2 linked regions of the Nothobranchius furzeri genome follow. Each later gene encodes a partner of the first gene's protein in a complex. Links are inferred from orthologs where the notes say so. Each region holds a gene or a part of one and is shown on either strand. Other genes may lie near its edges.

Region 1 (4,615 bases):
GATTATTTTGCCGGTCGTCTCAAACGTTACATAAAATCAGAACCTTTACCTGAGAAAAACACGGCTCCTGTTAAGGTGAGCTGAGCTGCTTGTGAGCGTGACTGATTGTAAATACTGATTGTAAAAAATTTGTGCTGACCTCCTTTTGTCTTCAACACCGCAGGTGGTTGTCGCAGAATCATTTGATGAAATCGTGAACGATCCTGCTAAAGATGTTCTGATTCAGTTTTTTTCCCCGCTATGTCCACACTGCAAGAAGCTGGAGCCGGTCTACAGAGAGCTGGCTGACACGGTACACAGCTTTATTGTATTTTTGATTAAGTTTCAGTGCACTAAACTCTAGAATTAGGTCGTGTTGCTCTGATAGTAATCTGAAAATGCTCTTTATGTGTTCTCAGTTGCATTCTGACCCAAACATTGTCATTGCCAAGATGAACGCCGTCTATAATGACATCCCACTGGGATACGATGTCCAAGGGTGAGGATGACGATGTTGATGAGCACTTTTAAAGAAGAAAATTCATGAGTCTTTATTTCCTATGATTTTATTCTTCTCTCCAGGTTTCCAACCATCTATTTTGCTCCAGTGGGTAAAAAGGATGAGCCCATTCGATACCAGGTACCAAGTTTTAATAGTTTCAGCTTGAGTTCATCAATCTTTGAGACACATGATGTCTAATGGTTGTGGGACATCTTGATTTCAGGGCACTCGAGAGCTCAAAGACTTCCTAAAGTTCCTGAAGAGTGAGGCGAGTCATGGTCTGGTGCTGACTGGGTTTAAGGACGAACTGTGACAAAGATTCACCTACTGATCAGAACTGACTTTGATTAACAAAAAGATCAAGTCTTGTAACAGCTACACAGACATGAATGGGCAGCAAGAGCTCTGCTCCTGGTGACACACCAGAAACAACGAATCAGGACATGGTCCACCCATTTTTGTTTCTACCAATCAGATTCTTTCCATACTCCCCTCTAAAACCATGTCCTTGCTGAATAGAACTATTTATATATTTATTCATTTATAAAGCCATTTCATGTGCAATTCTTTGTTTTTTTATTCCAGAAAACTAAATGCATTTTGATATAATACCATCTGTGCAGTTTGTATTTGGTGCTGTGTTTAGTTTTTATTTATTTATTTATTTATTGACTTAATTACTTATACTTTGGCAGTCTTTGGTTATTTTGTGAGCTTTGTTATGTTGAGAAGCTCTGCTGAGATTATGTAATAAAACCATGCTTGACAACTGACTGTTAATTAAATTCTCATGAATTAATACGCCTTAATAGCTTTTGTAAAATTGTTTTCAGCCGTTGTTTTTATGATGGGATTTAAAAAGAAATTTAATTTTTAAATTATACTTCAGTGTGCCTGAGTTTGCTCAACCATTATTTCCATGCCTGTGTGTTGTAATAAAGCTTAATAATAATAGCTGGGATCAACTGAACAAACTTTGCAAGTTCCACGAGTGTTAAAACACATAAAAGTCATTTTCAATCTTCGTAAAAAAAATTTTTTTTTTTTTTTGCTAAATCGTTGTGGGTTCTATTTCTATTAGGTTTTCTCCATAAAAGGCCTATTACTAGAAGAGTTTACCTCATTCACTCTATTGGTGAATGCGCATGTCAATCAAAAATAATAGTCTTTGCTAATTGGCCGGACCTCAAGTAATGTCTTGCCCATTTTGTCTGAGCCGTCCCTCTCCTCGTGCCACCCAGAACCTTCGAGGCTAGTGCTGTTAGCGTCGTGGTCTCAAAATGCTCGGCCAGCAGGTTTTAGTGCTTAGTAAGTATCGAAATTTGTTCTTAACTATACTTTCAATAGTTAGATGTCGGTTACTTCCCGCCAGTTTCTGCAATTTAGTCAATTTTGTGACCGTTTGAACGCGGGGCAGATCGGCTGGGACACAAAGCAGCTAAGGATGCGCTAACCAACTGTTATAACTCAGCCGAGCATCAGCTTCTTCCACCGGTATTAGCATTGTTAGCCTACATGCTACTGATAGCATCCACACCCAACCGGCATCATTAGCATATTTAGCTCGTGTTCGGAAGTAGCGGAAAGCGTGTAGGTATGCTAGGCTAGGCTAGCTTAAGCTAACAGTCCTCTTACTCATCATGAGCGTGCAGTTAGACAACTGCGAACATTATATAATAATTAAAAAAGACATGAAATTACCTTTGATGCAGCTATTAAACACGATTTTGAATTAGTTTTGTGTGTGCGCTGTGACTGAACTGAACAACAAAATAAGCATCCGCTTTAATACATTCCGATTTCGATTGATCTATTTGATAGCCTGTAATTGCGAATTGACAGCATTGTTATCCTGCAAAAATCAAAATTCATTCATTCATAGTGTCTGAAATCACGAAAGCTCTATCTGTACTGGTATATTCCGTCCATTTTGTCTTTACAATTATTTTAGACTAGAATAGATAGCTCCCTCAGTGGGGGGATTTTGGTGTCACAGCAGCAATTAAATTCATTATAGGAGCTAAAAAGAAGAGTATAACATAATAAAAAAATTACGACAACAAAAAAATTATTTAAATATTCGAAACACTCATTTTATTTGGAATGCAATAAGAAAATGTTTTATTTAGCTGTATAGATATTACTAGTTTAATGATACAATCCAACAAAATTGATTTTAAATAAAGATGCAACAACTCAGTTAGTAAGGAGAATAATTTACTACAAAGGATTCTAGTCATAGATGCACTTTGGCCTACGTGACTGGTAAATCATATTCATTAATTTTGAAGCATTTTAACAGTGTTGGACATTTGTCAAAAATGATCTGTCACATATTTATACACAGCTGTTTTTATTGATTTTTTTTAATGTAATGTGTTGGTTTGTTATCGATCTGGCAGGCATGGGATTGCTAACCATACTGATAAATTACTTCTTTAAAACCAACAATTTCGAATTGCTAGTCATTTAATTGGGTCACTCGAAATAATGGCTATCTGTGTTTTGAAGCAAAAACACCCTTCAATTAGGTGACTCTGTAGTGATTTCTCTGTTTTCTTGTCTCTTTTTAGACCAGAATGTGAAGAGAGAATCAGGACGTAAAGTCCAAACTGGAAACATCAATGCAGCAAAGGTCAGTTGTTGCTGTAAAACGTTAAAGCTTGTGTTAGACAGTCTCATCTGTCTTTTGAGTGCGGAAGAAAACTGTTTAATGTTTGAGATTAGCCAATCTAGGCTGTTTTTTTGTTTTTAATATGGAGACGTTGAGTAGCTGGGAAAGAAAAGGCCAGACTAGAGTAGAAATTCCTCTTAATAGACTGAGATCAGTCTCTGAAGAGAAAAATGCTTCATTTGTTTTAAAATTGTTTTATTCCCCCAGCCCTTACATATATTGTTCTTGTGCAATCTATTTTAGACCATAGCCGATGTGATCAGGACCTGCCTCGGCCCACGGGCCATGATGAAGGTGAGTTTGTCTATACAGAGAATCACCGCACCCAGTCATTTACAAAAATAAAATAAGTCCGTAATATTCCATGTTTTCATGTCATTTTGTCTAGATGTTGCTTGACCCTACAGGAGGAATCGTAATGACAAACGATGGAAATGCCATCCTCCGAGAGGTCAGGGTCACATAAACACTTGGAAGTTTGTCACTTCATCAATTCCTTCAGTGTTTCATAACATCCTGCTTCTCCATGGCAACAGATTCAGGTACAGCATCCCGCAGCCAAGTCGATGATCGAGATCAGTCGCACACAGGATGAAGAGGTGGGAGATGGGACCACATCAGTCATCATACTGGGTATAAAAGCTTTATTTTTAATCTAAAGAAGCTCAGACTTCCCCTTTAGAGGGAATTCAGTTTGTTTTATTTAACATCCGTCATTTAATGTCTCAAATTTCAGCTGGAGAGATGTTGGCTGTAGCTGAACAGTTTCTGGAGCAGCAGATGCATCCAACAGTGATCATCAGTGCTTACAGACAGGCTCTGGAGGACATGTTGGACACACTGAAGGAAATCAGGTAGAGTCTGACAGTTTCCATCGCCTCCTTGTTACATTATAATTATTTTTGATTTGTTGTAAGCCAACCAAACAGCAGCTTAGAAATAACATTACACATTTATGAATGAGTTAATTTTGTGAAACTTGTACAGGAAGTTTGACTGAATATTGTTGTCCTCCTCCAGCATCCCCGTGGACACTTCAGACCGCTCCATGATGCTGAAGATTGTTCACTCTGCCATCAACACCAAAGCTCTGAGCCGCTGGTCGGAGCTGGCCTGCAACATCGCGCTGGACGCCGTTCGTACGGTGGAGCTGGAAGAGAACGGGCGCAAAGAGATTGACATCAAGAAGTACGCCAAAGTAGAGAAGGTACGACTGTTGCTCATTACACCTGATCACTTTAGGTTAGAACAGAAGATCAAGTGTTTCCTGCATTAATTGCATTCATTCTTTTGTCTCACATCTCCCGTGTTGTGTTCAGGTTCCAGGTGGAATCATCGAGGATTCCTGTGTGCTGAAAGGAGTGATGGTGAACAAAGATGTGACTCACCCAAGAATGAGGCGAATGATCAAAAATCCCCGTATCCTCCTGCTGGACTGTTCTCTGGAGTACAAAAAGGGG
Region 2 (4,494 bases), on another chromosome or scaffold:
CAATGGTATGAATGCAATTTAATAACAAATAGCGAGCTGCCATCAAGGGATTAAGCATGCATTTCTTTTTTTATATATATTAATTTTATTTCTGAAGACAAAACAAAAGATGAATAATTAACAGACCAATGGTTAATGTTAAAAGAATGATAAAAGTTTTTCTCAGAGAAAACTGTAAATTTGAACTTCACATCGCGTGAAAGAAACGTGATGGCTTTTAAAAACAATGTCAGAGTGAGACCTCCCTATTTTTATTTTCTCTCTTCACCAACTTTCCCTTCCACGAGTTCCGGTAAAAATTTTCTTGCCCTTTCCTCATTGGATGCGGTGGTGGTTATAAATAGCACACAAAAAGAAACCAAATTAATTCATTTATAATAAATAACCTACCATTGTGTATGTGATTAGATTAAAACTGAGACCTTAAACAGATTATATTCAGAGAATTATAATTTGTTTAAATGATTTTGCTTTTTGCTAGAAACATTTTTACACAAATTAATTTAGTGTAATTTAGGAAAAACTCGAATGTGAATCAATAAAACATTAAGGCTCGTTGAATTAGAGTACTTTTGAAAAGGGCGTCATTTTTTAATCTGTGTGCGCGCGCACGTGTTTGTGTAAACCCTAAATAATACTTCTGTAATTAAATGAGCTGTTTTTATTTCTAATTAAGATTGGTTTTTGCATTACAAGCATTAGAAACTGATTTAGCCAACATGTAGTAAAAACTTAAATCAGCCACACGAGGGCGACATTTATCCAACAGAAGGTTAACGTTCTTCACTAATCTGGTGTTCTAGGAAATATCAAGGTTTACCTGATCAAGTTTGGTCTAACCTGTTTTCTCCGCTGAATTGTTGTTATGATTTATTTAACAACTAATAGAAACAACTCAAATGTCGTGTGGTTAATTAATAAATGAGCAACTTGAAGAAAAAACTCGATAAATGACAGAGAACCCGTTCATTTTGGAGCTGTAATATTGGTTTCGTAAATAGTGAAAACAACGAGCACTAATTAAATCCACTTGTTTTTGCACTTTGGGAATGTAGTACACTGTTATTATCAGCAAACATTTTCCATTAGCAAATATTGTCGATGTGTTTTATTTTACCCAGTGAAATGTTATTTTTTTAATTCAGTAAAACGGAGAGAGGCAGGTTCGGGTCCGGTACCGGCCTTCCTGAATAGCACCTGTCTGGTTCCGTTCCCAGCTGCTACAAATGGATTGCTTCTCTCTCTTTCCTTATGTGGTCATATCGCACCTCGCAGGAAGTTGGTGTTACTTGTATTATTGTCTTTCCACACAATTAAATATTCCTCTTTTATTTTTTGTTTCGAAATCGCTGATTACTTTACAGTATTTTAAATAAAAATATTTCTATTCGCTTCACAATACTATTCAATTTAAATGACAGCATTTCCGGGCTAAGTAGATTAAAATAAAATCTACAGTTTCTTGTTTCTGCCGGATCTGCCCACGCGGACTTCCTTCTGTTTCCGGTTTGGAAAGGAGCAGTGGTGTGGTTTAGAAGGGACTCTTTCATTTGTCAAAATGCAGGTTTGTTTGGTTTTGTTTGGATTTTAAACAGCTTTCGTTAGCGAAAGTGGCGGTTCAACGGTGGTGAAAATTATGTGTACATGTTTTTATCGTTGAACAAAGTAGCAATGGGCGTGTCGTTGTCGTGTTAACAGTTTAATCAGATCCCTGAGCAGGAGAATAATATCAAGTAAAACCGAAGAGATGTGAAAAGTTTTGTTTAATCCGTCCTTTACTTTTGGACAAAAACCCCCACAGATCGTGGGTTTAAATTGTCTTTTTTGAATATTCAAACTAAAGTTCGCTTTAAATGTTCACTGACTTATATAAATGTCCGTGAGTCTGAACACAGATTTTGGTTAAACCATTTGGACTTTTCTTCTTTTCCTGAAACATGTCAATTAAAGTAGAAGTGCCACGTGCCTAACTGTTGATTATTGGCCCTCACTTTCATTATCCTCATTGTTTTCGTTGCAGATGAAATAAAAGTGTTTAATTACATAAAATGAAGCACGTTTTATTAAAGGCTACTGATGGCCAATAGCTATAATGTATTTTCAGTAATTAAATCATCTGATTTGTTTTTTAAGCTTATAGTTGTTAGACAGACACAAACAGAAGTTATAATTAATTCTATTACATTTGTCGTTGTGTGAATGATTAATTATGTTTTCATCAAAAGAACCCAAATGAAGACACGGAGTGGAACGATATCCTGAGGAAGAAAGGCATCCTCCCCCCCAAAGAAGTTCCTAAAGAGGATGAAGAGGAGGAGGAGCTGGCCCTCCAGCAACAATCTGTCGGTATGAAGGCTTCAACATGACTGTTTAAGGGTTTCACCCACATTGATTTTAAATGTATTTTCATATTTTAACATACTTTTTTACATTAGTCATATTATTTTATGTTTGTGCTTATCTCAATCCCATAAAATCAGAAATTGTAAGATTATTTGTGGATTAGAGGCCGTCTGCTGTTTGTGCAGTTAAAACATATGAGAGTATGACTCTGGATGAGCTGGAGGAGAACGAAGACGAGTTTGGAGAGGAGGATGAAGCTGCCATTGAGATGTACAGGTAAGTGGTTCAACAGGAGAACTGGGCGATCAAAACTCAATAACTATCTGTCGGGTTTTTGGTGCCTGATGCACTTTATTGTACATTTGACAAAACAAAACCCTGGTGAAATTTAGGGATGCACAATATATCGGTATCAGCCGATGTTAGTCATTTTTGAACATATCGGTATTGGTCCAATAAGTAAAACGGGGCTGACATTAAAAACCCAAATTTTTTCCATCTTGTTTCCGTTTGTGTATCTGTTTGAGAGGGTGAGGATGTGTTTAGTTTAGTCCTGTGACTGTGTGTGTGTGTGTGTGTGTGTGTGTGTGAATAACATCTTGCAAATTCCATTTTATAGAAAAATAGCAAAATATTCACAAATTCGGCTTACATAATGTCAGTCTATACAAAATTTGCTGATTTCAGAAGCATAAATCGGTATCAGACATAACAGTTATGTAAAAATCAATATCGGCCCAAAAACGTCATGTCGGTGCATCCCTAGTAAATGGCCTGTATCTGATATGGTGCCTTCTAGAGTTCTGGAACCCCACAATCAGTCATTCACCCATTCACACACACATTCACACACTGGTGGGGATGAGCTACGATGTAGCCACAGCTGCCCTGGGGCACACTGACAGAGGTGAGGCTGCCGAGCACAGGCGCCACCGGTCCCTCCGACCACCACCAGCAGGCAACGTGGGTTAAGTATCTTGCCCAAGGACACAGCGACAGCGACAGACTGAGCGGGGCTCAAACCTGCAACCTTCCGATTACGGGGCGAGCACTTAACTCCTGAGCCACCGTCATCCACCAGTAAAAATAAAATCTCTTTCCCATATGGTTGGTTTTTACTCGATTACATCTAGGAAATCAAGTCAACGCTTTAATTCTGAATCTTATAATTTCTTCTATTCCTGATGCATTTCTCTCTCCGTGGCTGTGTGCTGATGCAAGCTGCATCTCCTTCCAGACAGAAGCGTCTTGCGGAGTGGAAAGCGGCTCAGATAAAGAACGCTTTTGGAGAACTGGGGGAAATCTCTGGACAGGACTACGTCAAGGAGGTCAACAAGGCTGGAGAGGGAATATGGGTGGTGCTGCACCTCTACAAGCAGGGGTGAGTTAAGACCAAAGCTAGACCTGGATGTTTTACATAAACATCTGGAAAGCTTTATGTATAGAAAACATGCTGCTGAATCTGAATCAGTGTGGTGATTTCAGCACTAACCGATCCGCCTGGTCTCTCTGTCCCAGCATCCCTCTGTGCACCCTCATCAACCAACACCTGAACACGCTGGCCAGGAAGTTTCCTCAGACCAAGTTTCTTAAGTCCATCTCCACCACCTGCATCCCCAACTACCCCGACCGGAACCTGCCCACCATCTTTGTTTACTTTGAGGGGGAGATGAAGGCCCAGTTCATCGGTCCTCTGGTGTTTGGGGGCATGAACCTCAAAGTCGAAGGTAGGTCTGATTTATTAAACCAGACCAGACTCACCAAGTTACTGTTTAGGCTCGTCCCTGTAATAAGAAACCTGAGATGATTTCAACGTTTAAACATCGTGTCTGACTACCACCGTTCTGACGAGCTGTTGATCGTTTTTGTTTATCTGCTTGTTCTCCAGCTTAAGTGTTTCTGTGCTTCTCTTCCAGAGCTGGAGTGGAGGTTATCAGAAACCGGAGCGGTGAAGACGGACCTGGAAGAAAACCCCAAGAAACAAATCGAAGACAAGTTAATGTCATCAATCAGAAGTTCACTCCCTACGCGAGAAGACAGCGACTCTGAGGACGATTAAAAAGAAGAGTGCTGTCGACTTCCACGAGGAGACGTTCAGACGTTAAATCTGCAGCAGAGAAGCGGGCCTCCCATTCAGACCTGTGGTTATTT

The links.
Region 2: the proteins of cct3 (region 1) and pdcl3 are in contact, whole or in part, in a cryo-EM structure (PDB 8I6J), measured with the Homo sapiens proteins. The link is inferred for Nothobranchius furzeri from reciprocal best matches to the Homo sapiens genes CCT3 and PDCL3. Residues at the interface, in NP_005989.3 of Homo sapiens: Met47, Pro53, Met54, Val58, Met59, Thr60, Asn61, Asp62, Ala65, Arg68, Glu69, Arg167, Ile258, Glu261, Phe264, Leu268, Gln269, Glu271, Ser297, Asp298, Leu299, His302, Ser380, Glu382, Ile383, Arg389; in NP_076970.1 of Homo sapiens: Glu66, Ala70, Met73, Tyr74, Arg75, Arg77, Arg78, Trp82, Leu182, Pro212, Lys213, Ile216, Glu217, Asp218, Val219, Arg226, Leu229, Met230.

The regions. Positions count from the first base shown.
Region 1 is NC_091759.1:9,430,735-9,435,349, reverse strand, and holds the start of cct3 (T-complex protein 1 subunit gamma), read left to right. Parts: upstream 1-1,658; 5' UTR 1,659-1,761; coding exon 1,762-1,789; intron 1,790-3,054; coding exon 3,055-3,116; intron 3,117-3,398; coding exon 3,399-3,449; intron 3,450-3,543; coding exon 3,544-3,606; intron 3,607-3,691; coding exon 3,692-3,788; intron 3,789-3,891; coding exon 3,892-4,009; intron 4,010-4,175; coding exon 4,176-4,362; intron 4,363-4,474; coding exon 4,475-4,615. Other genes in the region: pdia8 (protein disulfide-isomerase A3), read left to right, coding at 1-75, 164-292, 399-478, 562-619, 705-794. UniProt on the Homo sapiens protein: Component of the chaperonin-containing T-complex (TRiC), a molecular chaperone complex that assists the folding of actin, tubulin and other proteins upon ATP hydrolysis.
Region 2 is NC_091754.1:32,212,411-32,216,904, forward strand, and holds the start of pdcl3 (phosducin-like protein 3), read left to right. Parts: upstream 1-1,444; 5' UTR 1,445-1,558; coding exon 1,559-1,564; intron 1,565-2,225; coding exon 2,226-2,346; intron 2,347-2,528; coding exon 2,529-2,619; intron 2,620-3,580; coding exon 3,581-3,724; intron 3,725-3,861; coding exon 3,862-4,070; intron 4,071-4,259; coding exon 4,260-4,402; 3' UTR 4,403-4,494. UniProt on the Homo sapiens protein: Acts as a chaperone for the angiogenic VEGF receptor KDR/VEGFR2, increasing its abundance by inhibiting its ubiquitination and degradation.